3 linked regions of the Elephas maximus indicus genome follow. The protein of the gene in region 3 interacts with the protein of the main gene of each other region in a biochemical or structural test. Links are inferred from orthologs where the notes say so. Each region holds a gene or a part of one and is shown on either strand. Other genes may lie near its edges. The genes, in order: HSPG2, SHC2 and KDR.

Region 1 (7,950 bases), on a different chromosome or scaffold from region 3:
GCCACTCTGCTCACATGACTTCCAAGTCCTGAACCCAATCAGTCACCTTCTGCTGCCCTCCTTCCGTCCCTCTCCTGGGCCGGGCCTCAGACCCACAGATGCTGACTTGCCTGTGCTCAGCCTGAGAACAGGCCCAGGCCAAGCCAGGCGGGGTCCAAGCCAGGCGGGGGCCACAACTCCCCTACACAGGAGAAGGAGGCTCCACCTCTGCCCCTTCCAGCCTCGGCCTCCCTCCCCAGACTGGGAATCCCCGGAGTACACTCAACTCCTTCCCAGTGGGTCTGGAGAAAGGGGGCAGGGTCAGGGGACAGCTATGTCAATGGAAGGGCTGAGGTAACTCTGCAACCCACTGAGGAGCAGCCAGGAAGGAATGGCTCCTCCAGTTCCCGGCCTGCAGTCTCCCCAGCTGAGGCAGGAAACAGGTATCTCAGTGACTTCCCTCCTCAGCCCTGGGAAATACCGTAATCACTGTGGCCTCCTCAAAAGTTCTCTCTCCTGGCAGCGTTGGCCCCAAGAAAGGAAGGGCTAAGGCCCCAGCAGGAAGAAAAGGGTCAGCAGGCCAAGGCAGGCCTTTAGTCACCCAGGCTCAGCCCCTTCCCCCAGCAGGCTCCCCACCTCCTCTGAACTTACTCCCTCACTTAATCACAGACAACTGTTTCCTGCAGTCCTGTCTCCTGTTCCTGGTGAGGTCCTGAGCTCCCTAAGGACCATCTTACCCTCTGCTTGTGTCCTACCCACACCCAACCCACTACTGGCTGGCAGACATGAACTGGAAGGCAGAAGAGATAAAAGGCAGCAGGCAAGGAGGAGCTCAAGGCTTACTGGGGCACTGACCTAGGAACCTAATCTCACTTATGACTCACAACAAACTTCTTGCTCCCATTTTACAGGTGAGGAAACTGAAGCTCAGAAAGAAGAACTTGTCCCTGGTCACACAGCTGGTAAATGGCAGAGCTGTTAGGCTATGAGCTCTTTGCAGTCTACCACCATCAGCTTGGAGCGGGAGAAAGAGTGAAGACATCGGTCAATGTGGTTGCTGAGGAGGTCTACAGCCCCACAGGATCAGAGGTGTCTGTGATCAGAGCTCCCAACTATGGCCCACGAGCCTGTGAGTTCTGGGAAAGCATAGACAGGGCCTGTTCTTACTCACCAGTGTAACCCCAGCCTGGTGTCTGGTGCACAGTAGGTGCTTGGCAAATAGCTATCGAATAAATGAACAGCTGTACTCCCAGTCACCGCCATGGAATGTCGCTCAATGAAGACTTGTTGAATGAACAAGTGAATGAGACGGTTGGCTGCAGTTCGGGAATCAGAACCCCCTACGTGGAAATTCCTCACATATAGAGCAAACAGCCCCCACACCCTCCCCATTCCTGCCACTGTAAAGCCTGTGCTATGTAGCCAGGAGCCCCTCACTAGGGGGCAGAGCAGGGGGAAGGTCAGGAAAGGAAGAATGGAGGGCTGTTAAAGACATCCTATGTGCTGGGGGACTGAAGGTTCTGTGGGGCCTTGGGGAAACAAAAAATCAGTGTTGGGAGTGGCATGTTCAGATGGGAACAACTGGATGTGTCCAGGTGAAAGGCTGAGACAGGGCATTAAGGCGACTGCCCAGATTGGGAGTGGAGGAGGTACTAGGTGGATGGGGCAAGTGGGGTGAGGGGTCAGGCCTGGGGTGGGGGGTTAACGAGTGACTCAGGAGGGCAGAGGTGAAATGAAGCCATCAAGGCAAGAAAGGGAGTCACTGGTGGCCACCGATTCAGTCACTGGGTAAACACTGGCCCAGTAGAAAAGTCCCTCTGCAGGCTCCAAGGACAGCAGGGTGGAGGCAGGGACCGACCGTGACCACCTCAAAGGGGTTTGGGACAGCTCTATGGCTCACTGTGCTGGGCAAGCCCAGCTCCCCAGATGTGCTCCCACCCACATCTGCCACTAGCTCCCTGCCCACTGACCGTGCCCCACCCTCCTCAAGTTCACTGAGGTCCTCCTGGGGCCTCTCCTGGCCAAGCACCTTCTAGGCTGTGGGATTCCTGAGCCCAGGATTCTCTCTTCCTTGAATGGGCCCATCCAAGCTCTGAGCAAGGCTCCCCCACTCTGCACCTTGCGGACCTAGGAAAAGGAAAGCTGAGGAAACTCAGATCCACCGGGGGTCCACTGCACACCAGGCCCACACCGGGCACTTTCACTTACATTCCATCCAATCCTCCCAGCCACCCTGAGGCTATGCACTTTGAGGCTATGCATTTCCAGTTCCCTGTACACAGGGAGCCGGCCTCAGACAGGTTGATTAGCTTCCCCAGGTCACACAGCTACTCAGGGCACTGCAGGGATTCAACTCCTGAGCTGTTCTGACTCCAGGGTCAGAACACAAGCCTCAGATCTGTCCCCAACGGTTCTTTAATTGCCCCTGCGCTGGTACAATCTCCCCAACGGGAGAGATGGCAAGGTAAAGGTCAAGTGAGGCTTGATAGGGTCCCTATCACCACTGAGTGCCCCTTCTGCCAAGTTGGCGCAGAAGGGGGTGCCCTGGTCCTGCCAAGTTCCCACCCTGCTCGAACTTTCTTCTCCTGGTCCCCAGAAATGGCAGGCCAGGCCACCATGCCCAGCGCAACTCGGAGACTCGGCAACGTGGCCCGAGGACCCACAAGCTCCCACTCGGGTCGGTCTTGCCCCCAGCCCCACGCAGGGTTCCCTGAGCACCCTCCGGGGCAGTCCCCACTGCACAGGAGGGCGCCAGCCTGGGCCGGCCGGGGATCCCTGGCGGGCGCCGCCTTCCTGAGTTGGAGTCCCGGCCACGCAGCCTCGGGCGCCCCCGCCAACTTGGTGAGCTCGGCGAGCTGGCCCCGTGGCGCCCCCCAACCCCTCCGCTCCGAGCACTCACCGCTAGCAGCTGTCCATGCAGCAGCAGCAGCGCCAGCAGCAGAGCGCCCGCCGCCCGCCGCCCCATGGCCCGGCCCGCTCAGCTCGCTATCTCCTCCGCGCTCGCCGGCCTGCTGAGTCCTCAGGACAGCGCGGCGCGGCCCGGCCCGGCCCGCTCCCTACCTCTCCCGCCCCTCTCCGCCCGGCCCCGCCCACGCTGCCGCCCGCCCCGCCCCCGGGCCCCTAGGCCCCGCCCCGGACCGCCCCCGGGCCGCCGGCTTAGCTCGTCCAAGCCGGCAGCGCAGCCAACTGGGCCTTTGTCTGGGCCCCCAGCCCCCGCCCCGCGGGCCGCAGCCCAATCCGGCTCTCCGCCAAACCCGGCCTGGAGTTTCGGGTGGGACGGGGGCCCTGAGGCTCGAGGGGCGCCAGAGCCCTGAGCGCGGGACCGCTCCCTCCTTCCACTCGCACCCCCTCCCGCATGCTCACCTGCACATGCGACAGGGCCCCACCAACTTTCAGACAACTAAAACCCGCTCTCACACCCTTTCACACTCCACAAGACGTGATTCCACACACAGGCCACTTCAAGAACTGCGAACGCACGCAGGCGCACGCAGACACACGAGCACACACACGCAACTTTCGCACACATCACGCACACCCGACACCCACGAGCAGCTTTCACCTGGACAGTTTCATACACACCCACGCAGACTTTGACAACACGTTCACACCCACAACTTTCACGCATTAGCGCACTCGTACGAGACCCATGAACACTCCACAGACAAACTTTCACACTGTTGCACTCACCTTTGATATACTAAAAACTTTCCTCACAGGTTCACGTGACACTATCTCTTTACAACTTTCACAGACTCAAGCCCTCACCTATACAGGTTCAGCCATTCACATTCGATTCACGTTTTTACACACAGACTCACATAGGTCAATCCCAACAAGGCAGGAAGAATAAAGACAAATTTTCACACACGAATTCCTCACAGAGGCTCACAGTTCCCACATAGGCCCATGTAGTTTCTCACGTCCATATCAGTCTGTAGTTTTTACATTTTCTTACACAAATTACAGTGCCTTACAGGGGCACTCAATACTCACTGAGCTCACTGAATGCCCACTACCCGCACCACCATCCACGTAAACCACTCATAGACCAATTCTAACTCACATAACACCCCAGAGCCAGAGATACACCAACATACACACCCAAGGCCCGGACACGGACAGACCCTGCCAAAGCCCCAGTCACGGATGCTTGAGTACTAAATCACAGCCCCGGATGATCCACCTCTGACCCAAGCTCACAGGCAGCACAGACCATGCCCGCGGGCCTTAACACTGCCTACTCTCAGGTCTTTTCTGCCTGAAAATTTCCAGGGCAGCCCCAGGCTAATAGGTGGAGAAAAAAACTGTTGTGTGTATGTTTCTTGAAGCTTTGAGGAAAACCTTTGAGTAATGATAAAGGGAGGAGAATAAAAACTGAATTTTCCATTGTTTCTTCCATGAGTTGCTAGGTTCCAGAGACTCAGGACTGGGTCTGCAGCCAGGAGTGAGGTGAGCTGTGGATAGAAACAAATGCCCGCACTAACAGGGCGGCACCAGGCCTGGCTCCGGAAGGCGTGTTCTCTGCGATAGGGTCCTGTGGGCTCCCAGACATTCTGGGGCCTTCCACCAGGGCACCTGGGACATTGAAAAAATGCTTGCATCTGACTCCTGTCCCAGCCAGATGTCCCATCTCCAAAACTCTGGGTTCTTCTCTGCCCTGTGGGGCACACTGTTGGGGGTCCAACTCAGAGCTGTGAGGGGCAATAACTACATCTGCACTGGTTCAGTCAACTCCCTGGCCCCAACCCAGACCTCAGGCACAGCAGCAATGAATAAAGCCTATCTCTGCTTCAGACAGGGAGATAGGGGTGATCAGGGGAGGGAAGGACGTCCAGCCTCTGCTCTCAGATGGGGAAAAAGGACATAGTCTCTGTTCTCATGGAGTTCTCAGTCTGATAGAGAATCTCAGCTTTATCACCTACTACCTGCTTAATCTTGAGTAAATTATTCAACTTCTCAAAGTCTCAGTTTCTTCATCTAGAAAATGAGGATAAAGTTAAGACCTCCTTCATGGTGTTGTTATGAGGATTAAGATGAATTTATATATATGAACCAAAAACCAAACCCAGTGCTGTTGAGTTGATTCCAACTCATAGCAACCCTATGGGACAGAGTAGAACTGCCCCAAAGAGTTTCCAAGGAGGCCTGGTGGATTCGAACTGCCGACCTCTTGGTTAGCAGCCGTAGCACTTAACCAGTATGTCACCAGTGTTGTTCCCAATCTGATGGTGAAATGCAGTCCCCATGCCAAGGGTCTGTAGTCTGATAGAAGGTGACAGCTTTGCACTTGGGAACTCCCTGTCTGATGAGGAAGGCTTCAAAGCTCCACTGACTTCAGGCTTGGCAGGTGGCCAACCCCAGTGGCAGGATTTTTCCAAGGCTTTGCCTGTCCGTGGAGGCTCAGCATCCATGACAAATCACGTTTCGTGAGCTGTCTTGGGTTTGTTCCCCACCTCGGGCCCTTTAAGTCCTAGAGCTTTGGCTTCTTGGATGATTTGCTCATGAGCAAAGGGGAAAAGGAGAACAAGCAACCCTTTGTAGATGTTTGGTCAAGGCTAAGCCAGAGCTATAAGTCTGCTTCCTAAAAGAGTTTGAGGAAAGAGAGTGTAGGCTGACTGGGGACTGGAAGGAGCTGGGCTGACGCGGAGGGCAGGAAAATATGCCCTGTCTAGAAAAGTCTTACAGAGCAACTCCACCCTACCCCACCCCTGAGGATTGGTCATCCACCTATTTATTCTGCATCCTCTCCCTCCCTCCTAAGAGATTTGGCTGGGTCTGTTTTATTTTGCAGTCCCTGATATCTTTAGTCACGCTCTCAAGTTGCTTTGTCTAGGCCTTAGCTATCTCCTCATATGGCATGGAAGAGGCACAGAGGCAGAGCTCCTGGGCTTTCCGTAATTGTACTGTATGTACTCACAGCTCAGGGTGCTCCTCACCCTCTTTCAAAGAGAAGCCACTCAAGTCTCACACAAGGTTCTTTGAGTAACGAGGGGCTGCATGAGTGGGTAGGCAGGGATGGCCCACCAACCTGAGAAACAGGAGCTGGGGAACTTCTGGAACCAGCAGCAGGGATTTGTGGTTCATCTGTCCGTCCCTCCAAAACTGAGAGGACCCAGCTCTTCCTGGCTTCTGTTCCCACTCTGAATCTTTTCTCTGCCTCAGAGTTTCTGCTCACTCATCTTACTTATGTTCCTTTGTTTATTCATTTGTCCATTCAGGGTTGCGGTGGACGATTGAGCAGGTTGTTCACTGAGCTAGGGGTACACAGCCAAGTGGCCAAGTAGGGGCTGCAAAGCACCCTGGCAGATGCAATGCTACATCTGCCCACAGGGGGTGCCTTTTGTTAATATGCACAAAGGCTCTGTATGGCCTAGCAGCTGGTGCTCCTGCATTCATTCAATAATGAAATTAAATACCTACTAAGTGCTTTTAAGTGCAAGGGCTTCAAGGCTTGTGTGGAAAATAGATGTTGGCAGAGTGAGGATCTATGTTTTTGGATGGAACAGGAAATTGGTGTGAAAAGGAATTGGAATGGAGGAAAGGAAACAAGGAGATGGGGCTGGAAAGAAGAGGAAGAGGAAGAAGGAGACAGTTCTAAGCAAGCACTGAAAGTTTCCGTGAAAGGGAAGGACCCCACGAGACCCGGCAAGATCCAGCCCTGTACACCTCTCCAGCCACGTCCCTCCCCGACATGGTCTTTGCAGGTGCTGTTCCTTCTCCTAGAATATTCTTCCCACCCAACGCTGCCCCCCACCCGTCACCCTACTTCTCTCCTTCAGGATTCAGCTCAAGCGTTCCATCTCCAGAGAACCTTCCTTGACCTCCCAGGCTAGGTCATGTCCCCTGCTACACTTTCCCACAGTTCCTTTGCTTCCCGCTCTTCACATTTTGACAACTGTAATAATTTGGAATATCATTTAATCTTATGAGGCATGATGAAGGCAGGGAGTCCATCTGTCTTGTTTCTGTCTTGTTCTCAACTATGTCCCCCGTGATGAGCACAGTGCCTGGCACAAAGTTGACACTCAAATAATTTTTACTTGAATGGAAGAATGAGCTGGTTCAAGCATGGCATAAGGCTTAAATGTAATGTCCCTCTCCTGGCTTGTACAGCGAGACTTGTGAGAGCTGGAACTCAACGGTACTGCCCTGTTTTTCTGGTTCTCGAAAGTTTTCTGCCTTTTCCCGCTTGCAGCCTTACCACTTTTCTATCGCTTGTTTTAGTGGAAAATATTTGAGTTTTCCCTACCTGACAGGTTTCCCTCTTAAACAGATTCTGGCTTTCACAGGTTTTACTGTATTTTCTGTATTTATGGATAACTTTGAGAAGAATGAGAATTCCAGAACACTTAACTGTGCACATGAGGAACCTGTACATACACCAGGAGGCAGTCATTTGAACAGAACAAGGGAATACTGCATGGTTTAAAGTCAGGAAAGGTGTACATCAAGGTTGTATCCTTTCACCATACTTATTCAATCTGTATGGTGAGCAAATAATCCGAGAAGCTGGACTATATGAAGAAGAACACAGCATCAGGAATGGAGGAAGACTCATTAACAACCTGCGTTATGCAGATGACACAACCTTCCTTGCTGAAAGTGAAGAGGACTTAAAGCACTTACTGATGAAGGTCAAAGACCACAGCCTTCTGTATGGATTACACCTCAACATAAAGAAAACAAAAATCCTCACAGCTGGATCAATTAGCAACACCATGATGAACTGAGAAAAGGTTGGAGTTGTCAAGGATTTCACTTTACTTGGATCCACAATTAACTCCACGCTTTTTTTTTTTTAAGCAGAAGTCAAGAAATCAAACGGCGTGTTGCATTGGGCAAAATCTGCTGCAAACTATTACGAGCCCAAGAGACAGAAAGGGCCACATGAACCAGCGACTACATCATCCTGAGACCAGAAGAATTAGATGGTGCCCGGCTATAACCGATGACAGCCCTGACGGGAAC
Region 2 (7,262 bases), on a different chromosome or scaffold from region 3:
ATGGTCTGTATGTAGCACGTTTTCATCATCCATTCATCTGTTGATGGGCATTTAGGTAAATGTAAATTTTAACTGAAATTAAATAAAATTAAAAATTCCTTCTGGAAAAGGCAAAACCATAGAGACAATGAAAAGATTAGTGGTTGCTAGGGGGTCAGAGGGAGGGGGAGGGATGAGTGCATGGAGCACAGGGCATTTTTAGGGCAGTGAAACTATTCTGTCTATTACTGCCGTGGGTGACTTAGGACATGTATCTGCCAAAACCCATAGCACTGCACAACACCAAGAGGGAACCCTCATGGAAACTGCGAGTTTAGTTAATAATACTGTATTATTGGCTCCTCATTTGTAACAATGTATTACAGGAATGTAAGATGGCCTTAAGAGAAATAGTAGAAAATGGGGAGGGGCATATGGGAATTCTGTATTTTCTGCGGAATTTTTTTCTGTAACCTAAAACTGCTCTCGGCAGGAGAGCTGTGGGATGCAGACCCCAAATTCTCCTAAAGAGACCAGGCTTAATGGTCCGACTGAGACTAGAAGGACCCCGGTGGTCATGGTCCCCAGACCTTCTGTTAGCCCAGGACAGGAACCATTCCCAAAGCCAGCTCTTCAGACAGGGACTGGACTAGACTACGGGATAGAAAATGATACTGGTGAACAGTGAGCTTCTTGGCTCAAGTAGACATGTGAGACTATGTTGGCATCTCCTGTCTGAAGCGGAGATGAGAGGGCAGAGGGGGTCAGAAGCTGGCCGGATGGACATGAAAAGAGAGAGTGGAGGGAAGGAGTGTGCTGTCTCATTAGGGGGAGAGCAATTAGGCATATATAGCAAGGTGTATAAAAATTTTTCTGTGAGAGCCTGACTAGATTTGTAAACTTTCACTTAAAGCACAACAAAAAATTTTTTAAAACTGCTCTCAGAAATAATCTATTCCATGACGGAATATATGTAGTTCAGTGACAGTGATATATATATATCACAATTTAAAAAAAAAAGTCTATTAAAAAGAAAAAAAAGTTAATTCCATTCCTCAGTCATATTAGCCACATTTCAAGTGCTGGATGGCCATGCATGGCTGGTGAGGATGACCAGATCAGAGCGCGCAAATACAGAACATTTAATCAGTGCAGAAAGTTCGTTTGGACAGTGCTGGTCTGGACCCCTGGTCGGCAAACTACAGCTCTTGCTGCCTTTTTTTGCTAATAAAGTCTTATGGGGCTGTGGCTGTGCCCTTTCATTGCACACTGTCCACAACAGCTTTCACCAAAAGTAGGGCTGAGGTCTCAGGACAGAGACCTCCTGGCCTGCATAGCTGAAAATATTGGCTCTTTGGCTCTTTACAGGAAAAGGTTGCAAGGATCCTGGACACCCAAAAAGTCAAGGTCATGGGAGGGTGTAAGCCGTGTTCAGGGACTGTTCTATAGAGAGAGCAAAGAGACATAACAACCAAGTGTAAACATGGTTGGTCCTGGCCCCAGAGAGCTAGCCCGGGGAGATGTGAACACAACCTCAGGTTCCAAGCCATTCTGGAATCACTAATCATTTTTCTAGATGTGATCTGGGGCTGTGGGTGTGTGGGAGACACGAAGGTGTTTACAGGTGTGCCACCGTGGGCGGAGTCCCTGGGTGCTGCAAACAGTGAAGGCCATAGCTGCCAACTGAAAGTCAGCAGTTCAAGTCCACCAACAGCACCCTCAGGAGGAATTCCTGTCGATCCGCTTCCAAAACCTTAGTCACTGAAAACCCTATGAAGCACAGTTCTCTGACACACGTGGGGTCTCCACGGCAAGCGGCACTAGTGGGCAGCTCGCTTTCTAATGGTTTATCAACGGCTATTATGTACAGGAGTCGATATACTGAGCGGAGAGCGCAAAACTCGAAGAGTCCCAGGTGGAGGACACGGGGATCCACTGATTCGGCTTTTCTGTCTGCGTGAAAAGGTTCCCAGTAACACTGGGATAATGAACAAAGGCCGGTGTCTCTCAAGTCTCAGCTCCCCCGGCGGTCTGGCTGGGCATCGGCCCCTTTCCAGATACCCCTTCTCCCACGAGTCCACACCCCCATCCCAGGCCACGGTCTCAACGATCCGATCATCTGCCTTGGAGCCTTTAGGGGCGGTCTGGGCGTTCCTCTCCCGGGGACACAGCAGTGCACCCTGGGGTCCTCACTCCTGGACTTTCCCTCCCTGCCGAAATAGGGGTGCTACCCTGCGCATGCGCGTCCCCCTCCCACCTGCCCTCTCCCCGCCCCTCCCCACGTGACGCCGTGGGAACCTGGGCCCCAGCGTCTCCCCGGCTGGAGATGGGGGTCCGAGTGATGGGGAGAGGAGGGAGGATGGAGCGGGGAGTCGGGTTCTTGGGGTCCGAGGGATGCCAATGAAAGGAAGTGGGGTAGCCCCAGTACCCGAGGCCCGGGGAGGCCGCGACCGCGGGTCCTGGTCTGCGCACTCACCCGCACGATGTAGGAGACCCCGGGCCCCAGGACCCGGGCATCCGGGTGCAGCCAGCCGTGCGCCGGCTTGTGGATGAAGCTGCCCTTGCGGATCCATTCCGCCGCAGAATCCGGGGGGCCCGCCGCTCCCTGCGCGCCCCGCGACCCCCGCGCCCCCGCCGCCCGACAGCGGCTCAGTGCTGGCAGGGGACACTGCGCGGCACAACGCGGCTCGCAGGCGCCCAGGACCGCGGCCGCCAGCGCCGGAACGCCCGCCGAGCCCGCCGCCTCCGGCTGCGGTTCCGCGTCCCCCGCGTCCCCCGCGCCCCCCGCTGCCACCGCCGCCCGCGGCGCCGGGGGCCCGCGACCCAGGAAGCCACCGGGGGCAGCAAACTTCCACTGGGGCATACGCGGCAGCAGCGCGCAGAAGGTGGTGGGCGCCTCGGGCTCGGGGGGCGCGGGGGGCGCCGGGGGCGCGCGCCCGCCCGGACCCTGCGTCATGGCCGCGGCCGCTGAGCGAGCCCGACCGGGCGTTGAGCCTGGCCAAGGAGGCCGCCGGCTCCCGCCCGCTGCCGCCAGTCCCTCCCCGCCCCCGGCCCGGTGATGTCATCCGCCCGGCCCAGCGCGCAGCCGCGGGGGGCTGCACCCCTGGGACCCCGGCCCTCTGCTCCGCAGCGCCCGGGGAAACTGAGGCCCGCCTAGGGCTCGGGCGTTGGCCCGCATTCGGCAGCCGGGGAAAGGAGGGTCCAAGGGATACCAAGGAAAGGAAGTGGGGTAGCCCTAGCACCCCCCGCCGCCCACGTTCCTAAAAGGGCAGGGCTGGAAGACCCCATTCTTCCCCTGTTGACCTATGGGAAAACTGGGACCTGGCGAGGAGCGGAGGTGCAGTCCGGGGAAGAGAGAGCCGAGTAGTCTAACGTCAGCCCCCTCCCTGACCACTGTTCAGGCCGAAAGGTGCCTAGAAATCCCTCCCTGCTTCGTTTCCTAGGGGGGAAACTGAGTCCTAGAGAGAGGAAGGGGCGCGCCCAAGGTCACGCAGCTGAGGCTCACACCCGGAGGGCCGGGCTTGGGCCTGCTGGGTCAAGGAGGAGCACTCAGAGGGCCGGGTCCCTCCTCCGCCCCATCCCTGGGCCTCGGGCTGTGGGTCACAGCCCCTGCTCGCCCCATTTCCGGGGAGCTCTGTCAGGCATCAGCTCAGCGGAACCCTCGGGCCTCAGGGACCCTCAGTTCTCCGCCCCGCCCTCCAGGCTTATTTTTTGCACTAGGGAAGGGGGTGTCACTGTCACCCCAGGACCCAGCTTCCTGGCCCCTTATCTTCGCCGGACCCCCTTCTGCCCCACCCCCCATAAGGGCTGACTGCCGGGAAACAAAAGGAGGCGACCGGCGCTGGGGCAGGTGGTGAGCGAGGGAGAGAGAGCCGAGCCGAGCAGATCGATAAATCAGAGCGATGAGATCACAGCCCGGCACCGCCCTCGGACCCAGGGGAGGAGGAGGCAGCGCCGGAGGGCAGGGGGAGGCAGTGGGGGCGAAGGGAGGGGGGAGGCGGTGAGGGGTGTAGGAGAAGACAGCAAGGGGAGGGGGAGGCGTGGGGAGGACACCGGGGGGCCATAGGGGGCCGGTGGGACCGGGAGGCGCGCGCTGCCCCGATTGGCGGCTGAGGGCGTCGCGGCTGGTGCCCCAGACTCTGGCGTCTGTGTTCAACCAGGGGCCGAAGGCCGGTGGGTGGAGGGCGTCTGCTCTTTCTGACGGCCAGGGGTCCTGGGCGTGGATGTCTGTGTCCGGGCCCCACATCTAACGTGTGTGCTTCGTGTCAGTATTGGGGGGCTATGTAAAAGTGGATCGCAGGAGGGTTGCGGTGTGTGGGGACGTGTGTGTACAGTGTGGACAGGTGTGGACAGGTGTGAATGAGGCCATGCATGTGTGGAGGGGGTCCGTGTGTGTGTCAGTGTCTGTGTGGAGGGGGTCCCTGTGTGTCAGTGTCTGAGTGGGGGGACCAGTGTGTGTGTCTAGCAAAGGATTGTGTGTTCAGGCGTGCCAGCCCCCAGCTTGGGGGGGGGGAAGGGGTAAGGAAAAGGCTGACACCCACCATGCTCCCTTGGGGTCCCACCTGCAACACTGCCCTTGGAGCTGCCTCCTCCAGGCCCATGGGTGGGGGGCTCACAGAGGGTTTGGTGACATGCCACCAACCCATGTATTTCCTTCCTCTCCCTAGGAAAGAGTGGCAGGAATGGAGCCTGATGGCCAGGGTTCAAACCTTGCCATCAGAGTGATATGGGGGGGGGGGTCGAGTCCCAGGTTGTTCTCCTCCCAGAGTGCCCTTGGACAAATGTCCCGTCTCTCTAAAGCTTCATTTCTCTCTGTAAACATCACCTGCCTCCCAAGTTGCTATGAAATTTAGATGACCTTGATCAACATCTGGAAACCCTGGTGGTGTGGTCGTTAAGAGCTATGGCTGCTAACCAAAAGGTTGGCAGTTCGAATCCACCAATCGCTCCTTGGAAACTCTATGGGGTAGTTTTACTCTGCCCTTTAGGTCACTATGAGTCGGAATCAACTCAATAGCCACAGGTTTGTTTTTGTTATCAATATCTGGTACATATCTGGCAGCTATCAGGATACATTGAGCTCCTACACATCCTTCAAAACGCAGCTTCAATGCCCCTTCTTCCAGGAAGCCTGCCTGGCTTTCCCACTCAAAGCCCTGGCTCCACCTCTGGCCCCCCAGCCCCAGGTCCCTCCCCTAGTCCCACCCGGACCCCCCAGGGCTAGACAGTCAGGGTCTGGCTCTGGGGGACAGTGTCCAGGTCTCCTCCCTATGACATGGGGATGTACATGTGTGATGCTGACCATTATTGGTGCCAAGCAGCGATTTATTGACAGGCAACTCTAGATGGTGGGTGGACAGGGGCATCGGGGCTGCTTCCAGCCTGATTGGGGCTTAACCCAGGACAGGCACCTTGCTTCCAGGAGGCTGAGAGAAGAGCCCAAGTTTGGTGGAAACCGGAGCTGCATCAGGGATCCAGGCCCTAGGGGGCAGACGCAGAGTTCTAGGACACAGGAAACTCATTCCCCGCCAGCAGCTGGGGAGGGCTGGGTGTCCCTTTCCCCACCTGGCCTGGCCTGGTGTGACCAGGAGAAGAAACTGGGGCGGTGGAAGGAGGCTCACCCTGCAACCCATGCAGGGCCTCGGGGTCACAGCCCCCAGGGACTGACAGAGGATGGTGACCTAGAAGGGCCTCGGACAATTCAGAAAAGGGGGGGGCAGAGGCGGCTTTCCCTGGGCCCCTCCTGTGGCTTCTCTGAGCCTTCTCCAGACAAAGCCAGGACCCACCCATACCCCACTTTACTGCGGGGGAAACCAAGGCTTGTCTGGATGCAGTAGCAAGCACCCTGCAGCCATGGGCTGTCAGGGTGTGGTGTTCCCAGCCACGGTGACAGCCCGCTTGGAGTGACGGATGCCCATGGTGAAGGCTGGGGCCCTGGCCTTGTGCACTGTGACCTGCTCTGGGCTGTGGGTGCCAGGGCCTGGCGTTGTGTCAGGCAGGCGTGGTGCGCGAGGCCGCCCCAGCATGGTGAAGGCTGGCCGGCGGTGCTGGTAGGCATTGGGGTCGGGGATGTCATACTGCCCCGGGCCTGGTATCTCCGCCGGGTCCTGTGAGGGGCGGATAGGGGGTGTGCGGCCCACCACTGTGTAGCTGGGGCTGCTAGGCTTAATGAAGACCTGGGAGCCCCAGAGGGAGGGCAGGGTGTAGGCATTGGGGGCAGGGGCCGAGGTGTCCAGTGGCTGCGGGCAGAGGCGGGGGCCCAGCGTGAAAGCCGGTGGCGTCCGCTGGCGCACGGGGGGCACCTTCTCCGGGCTGTAGGCGCCTGGGCCTGGCGTCACCTCCAGACCTGTGGGAGGACTGCAGAGTGGGCACTGCAGAGGCCCCTATCTCTTCCCTCCCTCCCGGACCTCCAGACACATGGTCCATTCTCCTTCAGGTCCCCCAGCCTCTGCAAGGCTCAAATTCCCCCCATCTCCGCCACCTTGATGCCCTCCCTCCAGGCACCCCCTCCTGGGTCCCCCTGCCCTGGTCCGCCCTCCCTCCAGACATGACCACGGAGAGACACGGTGGTCCTCGTCTGGGTCTAGGTCCACCGCCAGGCTGGAATCTCATAAAAAGCAAGGACATAGTTAACCAACCTCAGCTCCTCACAGTTGGCTGAACACATGTTTGCTTGTGTGGACACATGAGTAGATGGATGGTGAGTGGGTGGCTGAGAGAGCAGCGAATGGATGGATGGATTGAGTCCACGGACGGAGAGGTGGATCAGTTGGTGGGTGGAAGGAAAGATGGTTGGATGGACGGACGGACGGACGGACGGATGGACGGACTGATGGATCAATGGGTGGGTGGAATAACAGATGGGATGATGGATGGCTGGATGATGGATGGATGGATGGATGGACAGATGGACGGATGGATGGACGGACTGATGGATCAATGGGTGGGTGGAATGGCGGATGTGATGATGGATGGCTGGATGATGGCTGGATGATGGATGGATGGATGGACGGACGGATGGACGGACTGATGGATCAATGGGTGGGTGGAATAACAGATGGGATGATGGATGGATGGATGGATGGATGGATGGATGGATGGATGGATGGATGGATGGATGGATGGATGGATGGATGGATGGATGGATGGATGGATGGATGGATGGATGGATGGATGCATGGATGCATGGATGGATGCATGGATGGATGGATGGACGGACGGATGGACAGACTGATGGATCAATGGGTGGGTGGAATGACGGATGGGATGATGGATGGCTGGAT
Region 3 (7,594 bases):
ATCAACTAAGAACAAATGACTCTCTGGACCTAAACTAGCATTGATCTTGCTGGGGAAATAAAGAGTATGAGCAAATATGGGCAAGTAAGAGAGAGTATGAGTAAAGAGAGTATAAGCAAATATCCAGTGCATCCAATCTGTGGACTCCAACGTGAATAACTACAGGCAAAATGAACAAACTGATCACCCATGTTCTCACACACCCACATAGTTACTCATCAATAACACAGTCAAAAAAAAATGGAAATTAATTACATCAATAAGCCTCAGAAACTGTCACTGGTACTGACATGCTGTGTTTGAGGCAGTGGTTCTTAAATCCTAGGATGTGTCAGGCTATCCTTAGGCCTGTGAAAATGCATTTTAGCAAGGATTTCAGGTGACTCTGACATAGATGGTCTAAGGGCCACTCTTGGACAGCTATTGGTCTGGTTTGTCATATTCAGTTAATTAGCTAGCACACCATGTTTCAATATGAAGAAATTAACTGCCCCCAAAGAATGCAAGCAATAAAGCAAAATGTGGAAAAGTAAAAGAAATGCCTTTCAATAATGGAGTCGCACTTTGCCTAAGAAAAGGAGAATGAAAATTCACTTGTGTGAGCATAGATTTCAGACTTCACTGGGAAACAGCAGGTTGAAAAACACGTTGAAAGCAGAAACTTACTACAACTCACACAATGATCCAAATGAGAAATAAGTCATTATTTGGGCACATTCACGTGAGAGCAAAATGGTAGTAAATGACTAGGCTTAAAATAAGCTATGCTTCCACCATCACCAAAATAAAAGATTCTTTAAGATCTCTCCAAATTATTGCCACAAATCATTCCACACTCTAGACACACTTTGCTATGTAAAAATTAAACATAAAAAAGATGTGTTCCCCATTCATAGGAAGCCAAGACAACACAATACTGTTCTACAGACAAATCTACGACAAAAATCTATTCAACAAGCTATCAATAATGATAACTTCAAATTCATCATCTTTCGGCCAAGGCTCAATTTTTTTTTCCTCCGTTAAGCTTCATACATTTTTATTGGCAAATTTGAGCTCTACTCTTCAGAAAGTTCTGAAGAAATGACTATAAAAGATACATATCCTTCTACTCCATAACAAGGCCTGCTATGTTCAAGTTCCATAACCAATATTAATTAGTTTGTGCACTATTACCCCTTCCAGCTCAAACACAGGAAGGAAAAACAACAGTGTCTCTGTCTCTAGAATTGGATGGCACCAATTATAGCTCAATCCAATTAATTAAGCCACATACTCCAAAAGGGCAACCTCACCATTATTCAGGGCAACTCTATTACCATTACTACCGCTGCGCTATGAAACACCCCAGGCTTAAAAGCGACTCACTTCTTTGTGGGATACAGAACAACCACATGTTCCAGACATTCATTCTCTGCCCATGAAGGGAGAGAGAGGGCCCTTGTCAGGGTCGAATGAGTGTCCAGGGTGGAGCAGGGCCTGGTGAACCAAGTCTTTATTCAGAAAATTCAATAACTCTAGACAGATGATCTTGCTACTGTAAGTGAGTAGAAAAGTCTTAAGACACGTGATTCTTTTCTTTCAAAATAATAAAAAATAATTTTCCTAAACATTTGACTTTTTTCCCCCTCCAACCTCACGTAATCTGGAAATCAGTAAATTATGGCTACGGAGAAGGAATGTTATCTGGGAAACGTTAAAAAAAAAAAAAAAAAAGTTATGGCACTAAGAGCGTTTGTGTTCCTAATCTTAAAGGAGACCGCAATGTTAGGTGGCAAGGGAAGTCGCAAGTGGCGCTAAAACTGGGTATGAAGTCCGGCAGACCTGGTCTTCAGGGCGAACTTCTGACTATGCGCTTACCGCAAGGACAAAGCCGCTTTAAAAAACGTTAACACTGTTTTACCTTGAAAGGTGACTGTCACTTAGAGACATTCGGGAAACCTGTCACAGCCCCAGGGCCAAGTCCCAATTTCCCCTACCTTCTCTGTTTTTTCTCTGCGAGGAAAGAGGCGCCCTGCACCAAGGAAAGGGGGGAAAAAAAAAAGGTTCCCTCTCACTGGATGCCATCTCTTTGTGGTTGTGCTTGTCAGTTCAGACCAAGAGGGAACGCTGGCCGGGATCCCCGCTCCACTCTAGCGGAAGTAGAGCTGAGTGCACTGGACGCCCTGGGACACCAGGCTTACGCTCCTTGCAGGGCTTCATTCCCAGCGGAGGAGCTGCCTGTCTGCACCCGGACTAAAATAGTGCGCCCAGCCCTTAAGACTTTTCACCGCCTGTTCCCCGCCTGCGGGGCACCTCCTGCACGCCTGCCCTGGGCGCCTTCCTATCCCCGCCTCCGGGAGCCCGAGCGTGCGTCGGCTGGCTCGCAGGACACTCTCCAGTCGAGGCGCCTGTCAGAGACCAGAGCCGTAGAAAAGGCATCGTGTTAGAACTCAGTAGACCACCGACTCGCTGGGAGGTCAGTCTCCGAGCCTCAATTTCCCCAATGGTTAATTAAACAGCACTAAGCGTCAAGTCCTTTCCAACTCTCCAGCTCTAAGATTCGAAGTTATATCGGGCCGCCATGTCCTCCACAATCTGGATCTCTCCGTGCGCACCCAACCTGTCCGCCTCCCTCCCAAGGAGTGGGCTTCTTACCCCCGGAGGCAGCCCGGCTCTCCATGCACAGCCACAGAGCGATGGCTAGGAGCGCCTTGCTTTCCATCCTGCACTTCACGCCGGGCGCAGTGCCCAAAACTCAGACGCGCGTTCCCGGAGGGCTTGCCTGGCGAAGAAGGCGTGAAGGCGAGACGCGTGCCTCAGCGCAGCAACCCGGAGCGCGCAGGGCGAGGGTGCCCCGGCCCGGCAGTTGCTGGAGAGGCGTCTGCGGGCGCTTGTCTGAGAGGAGATCTCGGCTGAGGGACCGGCTCTGGGCCTTCTACAGGGAGCAAATGATGCCCGTGGCAGAGGAAAGGCAGCGTCAGCACACCTCCTCTCGCCCGGGGTCCCCGGACTCACTGCCGAGTAGGAACCAGGCAGACACTCTAGAGCGCTGAGGCGGGGCGAGGTGAGGCGGGGCTGCGGGCGGGACTCCCCTGGGCCACAGGTCCCGCCCCTCACCCGGCCGAACTGGGTGTTCCCGGGACTCCGGGGCCTGGATCCCGCTCCTACAACATGCACTACATCTCCTCACCTCTACACCTGCCCGGGATGCGCCCGGCCCCGAGTCGGCCCGGGTGCAGCGCTCCGGGCGCAACAACTTAGTTTCTGGTGGAAATAAAATGTAGCCGGTAAAGGGCTCTGAACCATTCCAAGGTTCAGTCGGCTGCCGGTCCCCGAGATACGAGAAATATCACCGGAAATGCAGCAAGGGGTGCGCCGCGTCTAAACTGTATGCGGGATTAGGTTGGAGGAGCAACCAGGGAGAAGCAGATACTGAGCCGAGACGTCTGCGGGGTCGCAAACCCGCAGTGAACGTAGACACTACGAGTGTTTTGTTTGGCCAGCACAGTTGTACTTTGAAAATCTGACTCTGAATGTCTCAGTCTGAAAATACAGTTCCCCAGTTCCCGAAAGTTCACGCGGCTTCAAATATTTTGAACTTATCTGCTTAGCCCCAGAAGGCTTTCAAATTTGCGACTTCTGCCTAGCTCCTAGCCAAAAGCTTAAAGCAGGGCTTCAGGGAGCTGAAGGTATCCCGGGCTCTTGCGTACCCGCTGCGTGAGTGGCCTCCGTCCCTGGCATGAGACTCTCAAGAAAGGCCTTTTGTGTCCGGTGTTACTGGACAAGGAGCACCCAGCCTGACTCTACTTGGACTCTTAGCCAGCAGTGGCTTCACTAAAGGGGTGCAGGGGTTGCGGACCGCACCAGGTGACACTGTCAGAGGCGGTGGCACCAACCTCCCCCGGAGCCGGCCGTGGGCGCGTGGGCCTCCCCCGCGCCGAGCGGCGCCGCGGAACACGCACACAGTCGCGCGCACACATACACCTCCTCTATAAAAAAAGTTTGTTTTTTTTTTTTTAGAGGAGCTCGGAAAACCCGGGCACAGCCCAAGAGCTGTAAGACTCCCAACTACATTCCAAAAAGCCCGGTCCTCTGGAGCCCTGGACTGAGCAGTTCATCTTGGAGAACTGCTTCCCTCTCTCCCTCATGGCAGGGGAGGGGGCGCATGTCCTGGGGCCTTCCAGCCGGTAGAAACCCTCCAAGACAGCAGAGTTTTATTTAAAATTTTTTAAAACCCAAGTGGGGAAAACTAATCAGACTTAAAAACACCAAAAACGTCGCCAGTACCAACCTGGATGGTGAGGAGCAGAGAGGACATAAGACATATAACATAAGAGCAGAAACCGCTCGGTCAATTCTTGGCTCGCTCTGCCTCGCTTTCCAAACCTAATCCACTAATGTATCTCACGTAAAGTTTAATGTTAAAATGAACGTGATTTTGATGTAGTTCTTAAATATTTTTACTTCGAATTCTATTGTTTCCTTACTGAATTTTCACTTGAACCAAGTGAAATGTAAATACATTTAGGCTGTGCGTATGATAGAAAACTGTAACTTAAAGGTGTTAAAGGTGTCATTTTAATTTTCCTACTTGTTTATATCACTACTATTGCTATTACATTCAGTGATATATGGGAATTACGATTTATGAATAGTATTAGTAGAACTGCCCCACACAATTTCCAGTGAGCAGCTGGTGGATTCAAACTGCCACCTTTTGATTTGCAGCCAAAGCTTAACCACTGTGCCATCAAGGCCCCATAACATTACTAAGAATTCTGTATGGTCTGGTACTGGAGGAGGTCCACGGGGTGGGGCAGCACCATGAGTTACCACACTGAGTAACACCAACCCTAGTGATACCACTGTTAGCCAGGCCCCTTTTCAGAGTCTGAAGTTCCTGCCCAGACAACCTGAGGCTGAGCAATGAAGCAAAAACTCCCATATCCTAGGCACCCAGAACACCCAGTGACCAGACCTCACCACTCTTTCCATGAATGTAGACTACTTGTGGTGCTGTTTGTAGAGAAACTAGCATTTTTTCATGACCATATTTCTTTCTTCTTGTTTTCTCTTTATTTCTCTTTACATCCAGGGAGTGACATCAATTGTCCCTTAACTTCATTAAATCATCACATGTCCCCTAACTTCATTAAATAGGAGTCTCTCAAATCCCTCTGTCTTTTACTTCCAAGGTGCATGCAAGCGTGTTTTCATAGCAGCTGAAAGAACTATCCCTTCAGCAGGATGAAGAGGAAGAATTTAACCCTACATTTAGTCCAAAACCCTCCTCTGGAAATACACAATCATCATCAGGTGTTGCTTTTCTTCTGCTATTTAAAAAATACATTTCTTTACTCTTCTACTTTTCCAACTTGATAAATGAAGTATTTTAACTCTTTTTTAAGTATAATAAATGCATATGGGTAAATTTTTTTCCAAAAATACGAAAAAGTTTATAGTAAAAAGACCTTTAAAAAAAAAAACAAAAAAACCTTTCTTCAACAGAGGCAAGAATTTTTACCAGTTCCCTTTTTCCAAGCAAGTTCTATGCCCTTATACGCAGAGTAATCATCTTCCTTTTTCACAAATGGCGGCCTTGATAGAACTGTTGTTTGAATCTTGGCTTTTTTCACTTTAATATATACATTGGTGAGCACTCTACATCACTCAACCCTCAGAGCGCCATTTCATTCTTTTTAACGGTGGCATGATGTCCTACTCTACAGATATTTATCTAGGAAGTGTTGTTGAGGAGTGTTTTTTTTACTGGGGAAGGTCCTTAAAGAAACACCTCTCCTCCTGCTAGCAAATTTAAGAAGTAAAACAGATGGGCTCTGGCAGAGTTGGATGAGGAAGAGGGAGGTGGAATGTGGTTTGGTGAAGGCAATTTTTCTCCATCTCCATCTTTAGACAATTCTCTCTCAGCCTTATTTACAATTCAGGACACTTCCTCTTCCAGATCTCAAGTAAGAAGATAGTGTCTCCTCCTCCAAATGCAAACCAGAACCTGCAGGCCCTTGGTAATAGCCCCGTTTCGATGTCTTGGAGGAAGTGATGCATCTTTGATGGCCACAGGACCAGAAATTGGCAGGGTCTCAATGAAATCAATCTACCACATTCCCTCCCACACAGCACTTAGAAGGGCCTTGTGTTCTTGAAAAATGAGAGTCTGTTAAAAAAAAAAAAAAAAAAAGTGTTCCATGTGCAAAGCTCTCCTGTTATCTGGCACCACTGCAAAAGAGTGACTTTGTGAATTAGTCTGGCAGTGCAGGTATGGCCACCATCTAGCACAGTGTCTCAAGAGTGTTCAGTGATGGCGTTCAGACACACACCTTCAGAGGAGCAGTGAAGGGCAGTAGCTAAGCACGCAAACTGTAGGCCTACACTGCTTGTGTTTGACTGTCAACTTACCACTTACTATCCATGGGGGCTTGACCAATTTACTGGTTGCTTATCTACAGAACACAAAAGATGATAATATACCTTCTCCACAGAGTTCTTCTAAGAATTGAATGAATTACTACATGCAAGTCACTGAGAATAGGACCTAGCACCTGGTAAGCATAGGACCCTACACATAAGCACCTGATACACCTCAAGAAGTATTTTGCAAAGGTTAGTTATACTACAATGCATGGTCTACTTCACGCTGCCTACCTCTAAACTGCAGTAAGGCTCAATCATTCAATAACAGTTTTTGAGCATCACTATGTACTAGGAACTGGGGTTGTGCACACGGAATATATATTGCTCATATCACCAAAGCACATAAATTACACCTCATGACCCCTGAATTTGGTTCCATCACCATCACCAGTATTTTAGACTTCAAATCTTAAAAAGTAAATATGAAGATAAGCAAAAGGTTAATAATTGTGGAAGCTGAATGATGGACCTGAAGGGTTCATTTTACTATTCACTCCACTGTCAGAGTCTTGCTGTGGTTAATACACAGATTTAGAATGACACTGAGTTAATCTTTCCATCACTGTAGGCATCAGATTCCCGAGCTGAGGCACAACTAAGATATGGCACGTTGGGCAGTGCCCTGGGCGCCACTTAAGGAGGGGCGCTAATGAGCAGTTTCTGTTGGCCATGGAAGTTTCCATTGCCAGCTGTGAGAGATGGTTCAGCAATTTAAAACCAATTGCCATAGGTGTTATTTTCCCTAGATAGGCCCCTGGCTTCCTCACTGGTAAGTGAGAGTAATAACTCTTGCCTACCCTCCCTCAAGGATTATTATGAGACTCCAATGAGACAACCTCATGAAAGTGCTCTGTAAACTGTAAAATACGTTATAATCATGGTGGTATTGATAATATCACTCAACAGTACTTGTTAAAAGGTCTTTAATTGGCTGGCTGATTATGCCTTCCAAACATACCCTCTAATTTGAAAATTGCTTTCAACTTTAAGAATATCAGCTGTTCATGGTGATGGCTGAACAATATGCTGAACGTAATTAATGTCACTGAACTGTACATGTGAAGATTGTTGAAATGGCATTTTGTTACCTATACATTTACCATAACTTAAAAATAAATAAATAACTGTTCAAAAGTATGTCCCATCATTCTTTGACATACAGATATTGAAATAAGTTTACAGA

What was found.
Region 1: the proteins of KDR (region 3) and HSPG2 form a complex in vitro, tested with the Homo sapiens proteins (2 studies listed by IntAct). The link is inferred for Elephas maximus indicus from reciprocal best matches to the Homo sapiens genes KDR and HSPG2.
Region 2: the proteins of KDR (region 3) and SHC2 form a complex in vitro, tested with the Homo sapiens proteins (2 studies listed by BioGRID). The link is inferred for Elephas maximus indicus from reciprocal best matches to the Homo sapiens genes KDR and SHC2.

Annotation. Positions count from the first base shown.
Region 1 is NC_064821.1:62,192,527-62,200,476, forward strand, and holds the start of HSPG2 (basement membrane-specific heparan sulfate proteoglycan core protein), read right to left. Parts: upstream 3,030-7,950; 5' UTR 2,945-3,029; coding exon 2,879-2,944; intron 1-2,878. UniProt on the Homo sapiens protein: Integral component of basement membranes. Component of the glomerular basement membrane (GBM), responsible for the fixed negative electrostatic membrane charge, and which provides a barrier which is both size- and charge-selective.
Region 2 is NC_064821.1:236,205-243,466, forward strand, and holds the start of SHC2 (SHC-transforming protein 2), read right to left. Parts: upstream 3,012-7,262; 5' UTR 2,936-3,011; coding exon 2,456-2,935; intron 1-2,455. UniProt on the Homo sapiens protein: Signaling adapter that couples activated growth factor receptors to signaling pathway in neurons. Involved in the signal transduction pathways of neurotrophin-activated Trk receptors in cortical neurons.
Region 3 is NC_064823.1:106,202,177-106,209,770, reverse strand, and holds the start of KDR (vascular endothelial growth factor receptor 2), read right to left. Parts: upstream 3,012-7,594; 5' UTR 2,705-3,011; coding exon 2,638-2,704; intron 1-2,637. UniProt on the Homo sapiens protein: Tyrosine-protein kinase that acts as a cell-surface receptor for VEGFA, VEGFC and VEGFD. Plays an essential role in the regulation of angiogenesis, vascular development, vascular permeability, and embryonic hematopoiesis.